2 linked regions of the Macaca fascicularis genome follow. The protein of the gene in region 1 purifies or fractionates together with the protein of each later gene. This does not show direct contact. Links are inferred from orthologs where the notes say so. Each region holds a gene or a part of one and is shown in the gene's direction. Other genes may lie near its edges. The genes, in order: LRFN4 and NCK2.

What was found.
Region 2: the proteins of LRFN4 (region 1) and NCK2 purify together in Homo sapiens (co-immunoprecipitation; 3 studies listed by BioGRID and IntAct, counting the BioPlex papers as one, with this or other methods). This does not show direct contact. The link is inferred for Macaca fascicularis from reciprocal best matches to the Homo sapiens genes LRFN4 and NCK2.

What each region holds. Positions count from the first base shown.
Region 1 is NC_088388.1:7,524,081-7,528,662, reverse strand, and holds LRFN4 (leucine-rich repeat and fibronectin type-III domain-containing protein 4), read left to right. Parts: upstream 1-1,613; intron 1,614-1,756; 5' UTR 1,757-1,766; coding exon 1,767-3,115; intron 3,116-3,656; coding exon 3,657-4,215; 3' UTR 4,216-4,497; downstream 4,498-4,582. Other genes in the region: uncharacterized protein, read right to left, coding at 179-1,516. UniProt on the Homo sapiens protein: Promotes neurite outgrowth in hippocampal neurons. May play a role in redistributing DLG4 to the cell periphery.
Region 2 is NC_088387.1:10,175,067-10,179,494, forward strand, and holds the start of NCK2 (cytoplasmic protein NCK2), read left to right. Parts: upstream 1-1,404; 5' UTR 1,405-1,631; intron 1,632-4,428. UniProt on the Homo sapiens protein: Adapter protein which associates with tyrosine-phosphorylated growth factor receptors or their cellular substrates. Maintains low levels of EIF2S1 phosphorylation by promoting its dephosphorylation by PP1.

The sequences.
Region 1 (4,582 bases):
GCTGAGGTTTAGGTGGCCTAAGGACCAGGAGACACGGGGAGGTGGTGACTTCCCCTGTTTCCCAACTGGCCAGACCGCTGGTGGTGGCGGGCAGCTGGAAGGAGACCAGGCTCGCCGAGCCACCCAAGCCCCCCAAGCCCCAGCTTTCTCCACCAGGAAGCAAGGAACCTCCCCCACCTCACGCCGGGAGCCCTTTCTCTGAGCCCAGCTGGTTCCGAGCCGCTCTTCCAGGAAAATGGCCCGGCGGGGACAGAGCGGGAAGGAGGGGCTGAAAGCGCTGCGAGGACGCACAGCTTCCCACTGCGTGCCCCCGGCCGTTGCGAAGCCGCGCCGCGCAGACCAATCCGGCCCGAGGCGGAGGCCGGTTGGCTCGGAACGCCTGGCCGGCAGGGCGGGCGGGGCAGCTGGGGAGGGAGGGAGAGGCAGCAGAGACAGGGCGGGGCGGCGGGGGCGGGGCGCCTGCCCAGAGGCCGAGCCCTCTCGGCCCCACCCCGCAGCAGCCTTGCCAGTGGGGCCGCCCCAGCCCCCCCACGGCCGAACCCCGTGCCGGTTGGGGACCCTCCACGTGACTCGGTGATGCAGAACGGTTATGACCTTCAGCGTGTGTCTGTGAACGCGAGGGTCCCAGCAACAGTGCGGGTTTGCGCTCGGCCCTGCCCGTGGGTGCAGGGACGTGTGGGTGTGTGGGCATGTGTGGGTGTGCTGGGGAGGGTGCCCAGCGACATGTGACAAAGACTCCCGTCTCCGGGAGATGGTGAAGGGGTCCGCGAGCAGGCGCTTTGTCTGGCTGTCTGCAGAGTGAGGTTCGCGCCGCGGCGGCGGGCGCCCGTGCGGTGCAGGATGCCGGGGCGCCAGGGTGGCCGGGGGCGCGCGCGCCTGTGCCAGGGTGAGTGCGCTGCGGCAGCGCCGGGGGGCAGCGCGGCGGGCCCGCGCCGGCCTGGGCCTCGGGCGTGACTGGGTGCCACCCGTGGGCGCTGCAGCAGCCGCGTGTCCCCGTGACCTCGGGAGCCGGCCCGGGCCCGGGTGGATCCCCGCGCGCCCCTCCCCGTCCGCCCTCCACGTGCGTGTCCACGGCGCGCGCGCCCGCCGGCGCGCACCCGCTCGCCTGTCGCCGCCGCCACCGCGAACCGCGCTGGGAAAAGGTGCCGGGAACCGAGCGAGCCGGGGCCGCGGGCCCGAGCGCCATGGGCCCGAGGGTGGGCGGCGGGCGGCCGGTCATCCCCGGGCCTCGCCCCCGCGGGAGAGCGGCCAGGAGTCGGCGGGGGCCGGCCGGGCTCGCAGGGAGGCCGGCCCGCGCCCCCTGAGCGACGGACACCAGGTGAGGGGGCCGCCGGGCGCAGCGCGGGGGCCGGCCTGGGTGGGGACACGGACTCCACGGGAGGTTCGGGGGGCGCCTTCTCTGGCGGGGGAGGGGATGGCGCGGAGGGGGGAGGGGGCTGGCGATTCCTGGGAACGCCTGGGAAAGGAAGTTCCGGGACCCTCCCTGCTCTCCGTCCTCCTCCGCTTCCTGCCTCATGTCTCACCTTGTGCCCAGCGCCTGGACTCCCCCTTAACTGCTTGGGAAATGTGACCTTTGCTCTGGGGGGCCTGGCCCTGCAGGCCCCAACCTTCCCTCATCCCTGGCGGCCCTCTTGGGCCTCTGACCCAGCCCCTCCCCGGGCCAGGCTCACAGAAGCTGGCTTCTGGGACTGTCCTGGGCCCAAGTGGGCACCTGCACCAGCCCCACCTGTGCCCGGGCTGTGGCCCTTCCCTACAGGGCGCTCACCATGGCCCCGCCGCTCCTGCTGCTGCTGCTGGCCAGTGGAGCGGCCGCCTGCCCGCTGCCCTGCGTCTGCCAGAACCTGTCCGAGTCGCTCAGCACCCTTTGTGCCCACCGAGGCCTGCTGTTTGTGCCGCCCAACGTGGACCGGCGCACAGTGGAGCTGCGACTGGCTGACAACTTTATCCAGGCCCTGGGGCCCCCTGACTTCCGCAACATGACAGGGCTGGTGGACCTGACGCTGTCGCGTAATGCCATCACCCGCATTGGGGCCCGCGCCTTTGGGGACCTCGAGAGCCTTCGTTCCCTGCACCTGGATGGCAACAGGCTGGTGGAGCTGGGTACAGGCAGCCTTCGGGGCCCCGTCAACCTGCAGCACCTCATCCTCAGCGGCAACCAGCTGGGACGCATCGCGCCAGGAGCCTTTGACGACTTCCTCGAGAGCCTGGAGGACCTGGACCTGTCCTACAACAACCTCCGGCAGGTGCCCTGGGCCGGCATCGGCGCCATGCCTGCCCTGCACACCCTCAACCTGGACCATAACCTCATTGATGCACTGCCCCCAGGCGCCTTCGCCCAGCTCGGTCAGCTCTCCCGCCTGGACCTCACCTCCAACCGCCTGGCCACGCTGGCTCCGGATCCGCTCTTCTCTCGTGGGCGTGACGCAGAGGCTTCTCCCGCCCCCCTGGTGCTGAGCTTCAGCGGGAACCCCCTGCACTGCAACTGTGAGCTGCTGTGGCTGCGGCGGCTGGCGCGGCCGGACGACCTGGAGACCTGCGCCTCCCCGCCCGGCCTGGCCGGCCGCTACTTCTGGGCAGTGCCTGAGGGCGAGTTCTCCTGCGAGCCGCCCCTCATTGCCCGCCACACGCAGCGCCTCTGGGTGCTGGAAGGCCAGCGGGCCACGCTGCGGTGCCGGGCCCTGGGTGACCCCGCGCCCACCATGCACTGGGTTGGTCCTGATGACCGGTTGGTTGGCAACTCCTCCCGAGCCCGGGCTTTCCCCAACGGGACCTTAGAGATTGGGGTGACTGGCGCTGGGGATGCTGGGGGCTACACCTGCATCGCCACCAACCCTGCTGGTGAGGCCACGGCCCGAGTAGAACTGCGGGTCCTGGCCTTGCCCCACGGTGGGAACACCAGCGCTGAGGGGGGCCGCCCCGGGCCCTCGGACATCGCCGCCTCGGCTCGCACTGCTGCCGAGGGTGAGGGGACGCTGGAGTCTGAGCCAGCCGTGCAGGTGACAGAGGTGACCGCCACGTCAGGGTTGGTGAGCTGGGGTCCTGGGCGGCCAGCAGACCCAGTGTGGATGTTCCAAATCCAGTACAACAGCAGCGAGGATGAGACGCTCATCTACCGGTGAGAACATGCGCCCCACACCCGGCTGCACTCCTGGTGCCCTCCCTCCGCCCTCTGCTCCCCACAAGGCTTTGCTTTCGCTCCTCCTCTCTCTGGGGCTGAAAACCGCTCCCAGACCATGGCTGCTGGACTCTTGGAGGAGCAGTGGCCTGGCCTGGCTGCCTGAGGGGCTGGAGCTCAAGGGGTGGCAGGAGGACCCCACCCCATGAGATGTCCCAGGTGTCACTGAGCTGTGCAGGCCTCCTCCGGCAGCAGGTGGCGGTTGGGTCTGTCTGAAGCACATGGCCCGCGCCCGCACGCGTTATTTCTGCCCTGCTGGTGCCATCCCCCCACCCCATCCCCCTCGCTTGCCTGGGTCCTGTGCCAGTGCACACACCCATCTCCTGGCCACACTCTTGAGCCTGTTTGCCTTCCTGAGTGAATGCAAGAGCCCGAGTGGCCCCCGGGGGAGGGGTGTTTGAAGCTGGGAGCACGGGAGCGGGGAGGTGAGGATGGAGCTAGACCCCAGCCCCCAGCTCTGACCACCTGCCCTTGCCTGCAGGATAGTCCCAGCCTCCAGCCACCACTTCCTGCTGAAGCACCTGGTCCCCGGCGCTGACTATGACCTCTGCCTGCTGGCCTTGTCACCGGCCGCTGGGCCCTCCGACCTCACGGCCACCAGGCTGCTGGGCTGTGCCCATTTCTCCACGCTGCCAGCCTCACCCCTGTGCCACGCCCTGCAGGCCCACGTGCTGGGCGGGACCCTGACCGTGGCCGTGGGGGGTGTGCTGGTGGCTGCCTTACTGGTCTTCACTGTGGCCTTGCTGGTTCGGGGCCGGGGGGCTGGGAATGGCCGCCTCCCCCTCAAGCTCAGCCACGTCCAGTCCCAGACCAATGGAGGCCCCAGCCCCACACCCAAGGCCCACCCGCCACGGAGCCCCCCGCCCCGGCCGCAGCGCAGCTGCTCTCTGGACCTGGGAGACGCCGGGTGCTACGGTTACGCCAGGCGCCTGGGGGGAGCCTGGGCCCGACGGAGCCACTCTGTGCACGGAGGGCTGCTCGGGGCAGGGTGCCGGGGGGTAGGAGGCAGCGCCGAGCGGCTGGAAGAGAGTGTGGTGTGATGCACGGGCAGCTTCCTGTGTGCTCCAAGGGATGAGCCTCGTGGGGCAGAGGGCCCAGGGCGGCCACCTGGCCTGGGAGTCCCTCCCTGGTTTTTACTCTCGGTACCTCAGGCTCCCCTGTGTGCTTGGCGGGGCAGGGAGCCCTTTCCTCGGTTCTGGCCTCCAGACCAGAGTAAGGGGCAGGTCCCTCCAACAGGTGCTCACAGCCACCAAGGCAGGGGCTGCAGCCACCAATTGGGAGTCTTGTTTTTATTTATAATAAAATTGTTGGGGACACCTCAATGCTAGTCTCTGGTCTTGTCTGGCTAGGTCCCCCAAGACGGGAAGATGGGACACAGGCCAGTGGTAGCACACAGACAAGGGAGGG
Region 2 (4,428 bases), on another chromosome or scaffold:
AAACAAGGAAAAGGGAGGCTGTCCTGATTCCCTGAGCTTGTACCTGATCCCTGCTCAGTGTACTGTGCCTTCTTCCACTTACTGAGCTATTGAGGGCTACCTACTGCCAGAGTCCTTCACATAGGAGGTAGGTAAATATTATCTCCCCATTTGACAGATGTTAGAAAGGCTAAGACCACCTGTGCAAGGTTACACAGTTCAGGAAGTCAACAAACACTCACCTGTCTGACTTCAAAGCTACACTGACTCTAGTTACCTGTCCTTGGGTACTTCCTTTCTGGAAGGAAGCAGATGACTGAATCAAATAATACTGCCTTGTAACCTTGGATAAATTATTATTGTCTTAATAGTAAGCAGAGACCAGCAGCCTAAGAAAGAATCTCATTAACATGGATGCAGGCTATCCTGCCAGGAAATCAGAATCATTTGAATATTAGGATTTCCTTTGGGAAACCATATGGGGAGGAGAAAAGACATCCGGATGCATGTGTCTGTGAAAGGGAAACTTGCGTCTTTCCCCTTGCTTTTGGGTTTTAATCTTCCAAGTTTGTTTATAGGCTAGCCACAACTTGAGGCTGGGTGAGCTGAACAGTCCCATCATTAGCGACACTCCTTCTAGGGGCACATTCGGGCAGCTCCTCTTCGGATCCTGTCCCCATGGGTGTGCAACCAGGATTCCACTGGCTGGGGCTGGCCTGGATGCCTGGGAGGCAACAGAGGTCGAGTTTCTTCTCCCTTTAGGAAGTGCCTCAGACAGGGATGATGGACTAAAAACGTGTCTGGTTGGGAAAGTAAATAGATGCAAGACAAATAAATAAAAATGCCCACAAGCAATTACAAGGAGGAAGTGACATTTTTATTTAAGTCACTTTTCTGATGGACACCAGGCCTGCTTAGCTGAGTGCCGTGGGAATGCTTCCGGGAGGGGGGCGGCTGCCCAGCAACTACAGCTTCGCGATAAGGACATCAAACAAACAAAAAAGAGGACGCAAAGCCTACCCGGCAGGCATCCCAGGCTGGAAGTTGCAGCCTATGTTTTCACTCTCCTCCCCACCCACCCAGCCTGCCCCCCACCGCCCGCGCGCAATTTCGGGCGTGGGGACCCTTTCCTGTCCCCGGCGCCGGGCCAGTGCTGCGCCTCCAGAGCGGAGCGTCCCGCAGCCCGGCGCTATACCCGCGCCCGTACCGGTACCCGGGCGCGGAGCCTGGCGGCGCCGGGGGGCGCCCCAGGTGGGTCTCGGGTCCCCGCCCCGCGTGCCCGGGCCTGGGCCGGCCCCTGGGCGGCGTCACGGCGCTGCCGGGGAGGAGCGCGGGAGGAGGAGGAAGAGCGCGGAGGAGGCGGGCGCTGCGCGCCGGGGGAGGGTCGCCGCCGCCGCCGCCGCCGCCGCCGCCGCGGGGATCGTCAGGCCGGAGCCGCGCGGCCGAGCGGACGGCGGGCGGAGGGGAGGGCTCGGCTGCGGGGAGGCTCGCGGCGCCCGGGCCGGCGGGGTCCGCCCGGGCCGGCAGCGTCCGCCCGGCGGCGGGAGGAGGGAGCGGCGCAGACAAAGAGCGGCGCCTGGGCGGGCGCAGGGCGGCCGCCGCCCCGGGACCCGCGCCGCTGCCCTTCGGCTCCGCGGGCGGCCCACAGCGAGGTAAGCACGGCCAGGCGGGCGCGGGGCGGGGGCCACAAACTTGGGGTCGTTGGGCGGAGTTGGGAGCGCGGCGGGGCTCGTGGGCCGGGGTGCGCCCGGGAAGGGGCTGCGAGAGCGGGTCGCCTCCGCGCCCCACCGGTACTCTCGGCCCCGCCGCGGCCTGGGCGCCCCCGACTGTGGGCTGCCGGGCATCTCCCGGCTCGGCACCTTCCTGCCCGCCTTCCCATCCCCAACCCCCACCATCGCGGCCCGGCGCAGAGGCGGGGACGCCAGCCAACGGCGCGGGCGGGGATCAGGGCAGGGGGCCCGGCGGCGGGGCCCGGGGACTGGAGACCCCCGGGTGCGCAGGCTGCGCCTGGCCTGCGGGCGGGCGGCTGGCACGGAGCTCGGGGCTAGCGCGGGACCGTGCGGTGGCCAGGGTCGCCAGGGCGCGTGTGCCGGGGAAGAATAGCCGCGGATCGCAGGGCCCCGGCGCAGGGACCGGGGAGGCCGCGATCGGCTGGGAGAACTTAACTGTGTTTATTACAACTATTTATGATCGCGCACAAAGCTGCTGTCACATCGCATAAAGGAGGTCTTCGCTTCGGCGAAGGGAGCTTTTGTGCCCGGCTTCAGGCTCTGCGCCCTGCCCCAGATTTACAGGACTCTTACAGCCACCTGAACCAAAGTTTCTCACAACCGCTCGGCCCTCTCGGTGTTTTTCAGGGCGATTTAATCACCCAGTGGTTTTGGAAAAATTTGATGTGTGAGTTTTAAGGCATGGACGGTAACTCCCTTATGAGCACAGTTAGCTTGGCATTGTGGGGAGGGGTTTAATTTGCAAAACGCTGTAATTTGTAGACAATAAGGATCTCTGTGAAGGTCTGCGCTGGATGCTAGGGGTCATTGGCTGGTGGACCCCAGGCACCTGACTTAAACTAGTTTTGTAGCAGCTTCAGGGACAAAGCCGAGCGGGCGTGGAGTCGTGTAGTCGGCCTTGGTCACTTCTCACAATTCAGGTTGGCAGATTCCTCTTTATTTGGCTTTGTTTATTTTGCCAACAGGTTTAAGGCCGCTTCTGCCAAGTTTGCATATGCATAATGGGATGAGCAGGCCCCAGTGTGGGCAGGAGGGGGCCTAAAATATCGCATGGGCCAGCTCCATCCCTCGACCCAGAAAGAAACCACCCTGAGAGGCCGGTGGGCGTGGCTTGGTGGGACCCACAGGTAGGGGAGTCCCTTCCTGGCCCAGGCCCAGTCCCCGCTTCTCGGAAGGGATTTTGTGTAGTAATGAAAGTGATTCAGGGTGTTTTTCATGCCTCTGTTTTAGATGTAGTTATCAAGTCTCAAAAGTGACGGAAAATGAAATTAACCTGGGCTGCTTTAACTTACCGAAACGGAACTGTGCTTGTGAACACTCCCTCAATTCACTTTCCAAGCTTCATAGATAAGCAGGTGAATTAGTAACAGGATTCAAGCCTATGCGAGTTTTATGTAAAGAGAATGGCGGTCATCGGACACGTGGAGAAGAAATTGACTTCACCTGGAGATTGGGCTAGACATGGAGGTTTTTTGATGTTTGGAACAGGGATTTCCTGAGAAGCAAGTGTTAACCTTGCTTGTGAAGAAGTGAACACAAGGGAAAATCCTACCTCAGTATATTCTCCCCTGGAGGTTGGTTAGATGTAGTTTTGATTGGAGAAGGTGGCGGAATCTTAGTGGTCTTCTGGTGGCTACTTGAGGCTGAAATGGAGAACTTTAGGCATAGGAAGCTGTGGAGGTGCCTGGCCCACTTCCTGTCCGGGAGGCCTCTCCTGGATTCTGAGCTTCTTTCCTGCTTCATAAACATTCAGGGGGATTGATCATGAAACACTGGATGAAATTGGGTCACAAATTACCATCAGGAAGAGTTGGCTGCTGCATAAGCCCCTCTGTCCACTTGTGGAGAAACTGACCCTGTTAACCGTGGGGCTCGCTGAAGGTGCCTTGCAGGTGGCTGTGCTCAGTTTTCAGGCTTTGTGTTTTGCTTAGGACGCGCTGCATACTTAAATCTTCTTCATCCCTGCTCTGTTTGACCCTGACATATTCCCAGGCTCTGTCATTTACATTTTGGGTTATTTAGCTTTTCCAACAAACAGCAGATCTTATGTACACAGTACTATATTTGAGAAATGCACTATCATCCATTTTAAATACACCGGAAATCTTCCTTGCATGTGCACAGACTGGATAACCTTTTAAAATACCCTAAGACTCCGCGAATGGTGCAGAATGTACTGGAGTCCTTTACTTGATCAGTTGAGCTAGCTTAATTTGCCCTGGCTAGAGCAGGCTGTGCTGCTCTATGGGACACCCATTTTTCTAACTGCTCGGACTGGCTTGCCATGTGCACTGGGGGAGACAAGGCTTGTGGAATTCATTCTCTGACATTAAAAATGAGGCTTAATGACGAGAGCCCAAAATTGCTTGCCGGAACTGCAGGGGAGGATGATGAGCGATGTTTGGGAAAACTGTTTTCACAAGTGAACTGGAAACTCCCCACAACTCACTTCAGAGGCTTAGGAAATTAGTTTTCCCATCCAGAGGGATGGCAAGTGGCACTTCCAAATGGTTTCTCTTTCCTAAAATGTGTGATGGAAGTACTTCATGGCACGTTTTCAAAGGCCCTAAGCTAAAACGTGATTTCATGTGTGTTGTTCCATGCCTGAGTTAAGCCAACTCAGAAGAAGGTCATGATAGCCTTTTAATGGGTTATCAAAAGTATGCAGCTAAAGCAAAAATAGTTTTGCATTTCTTTAGGCCATTTAATAGCACAATTA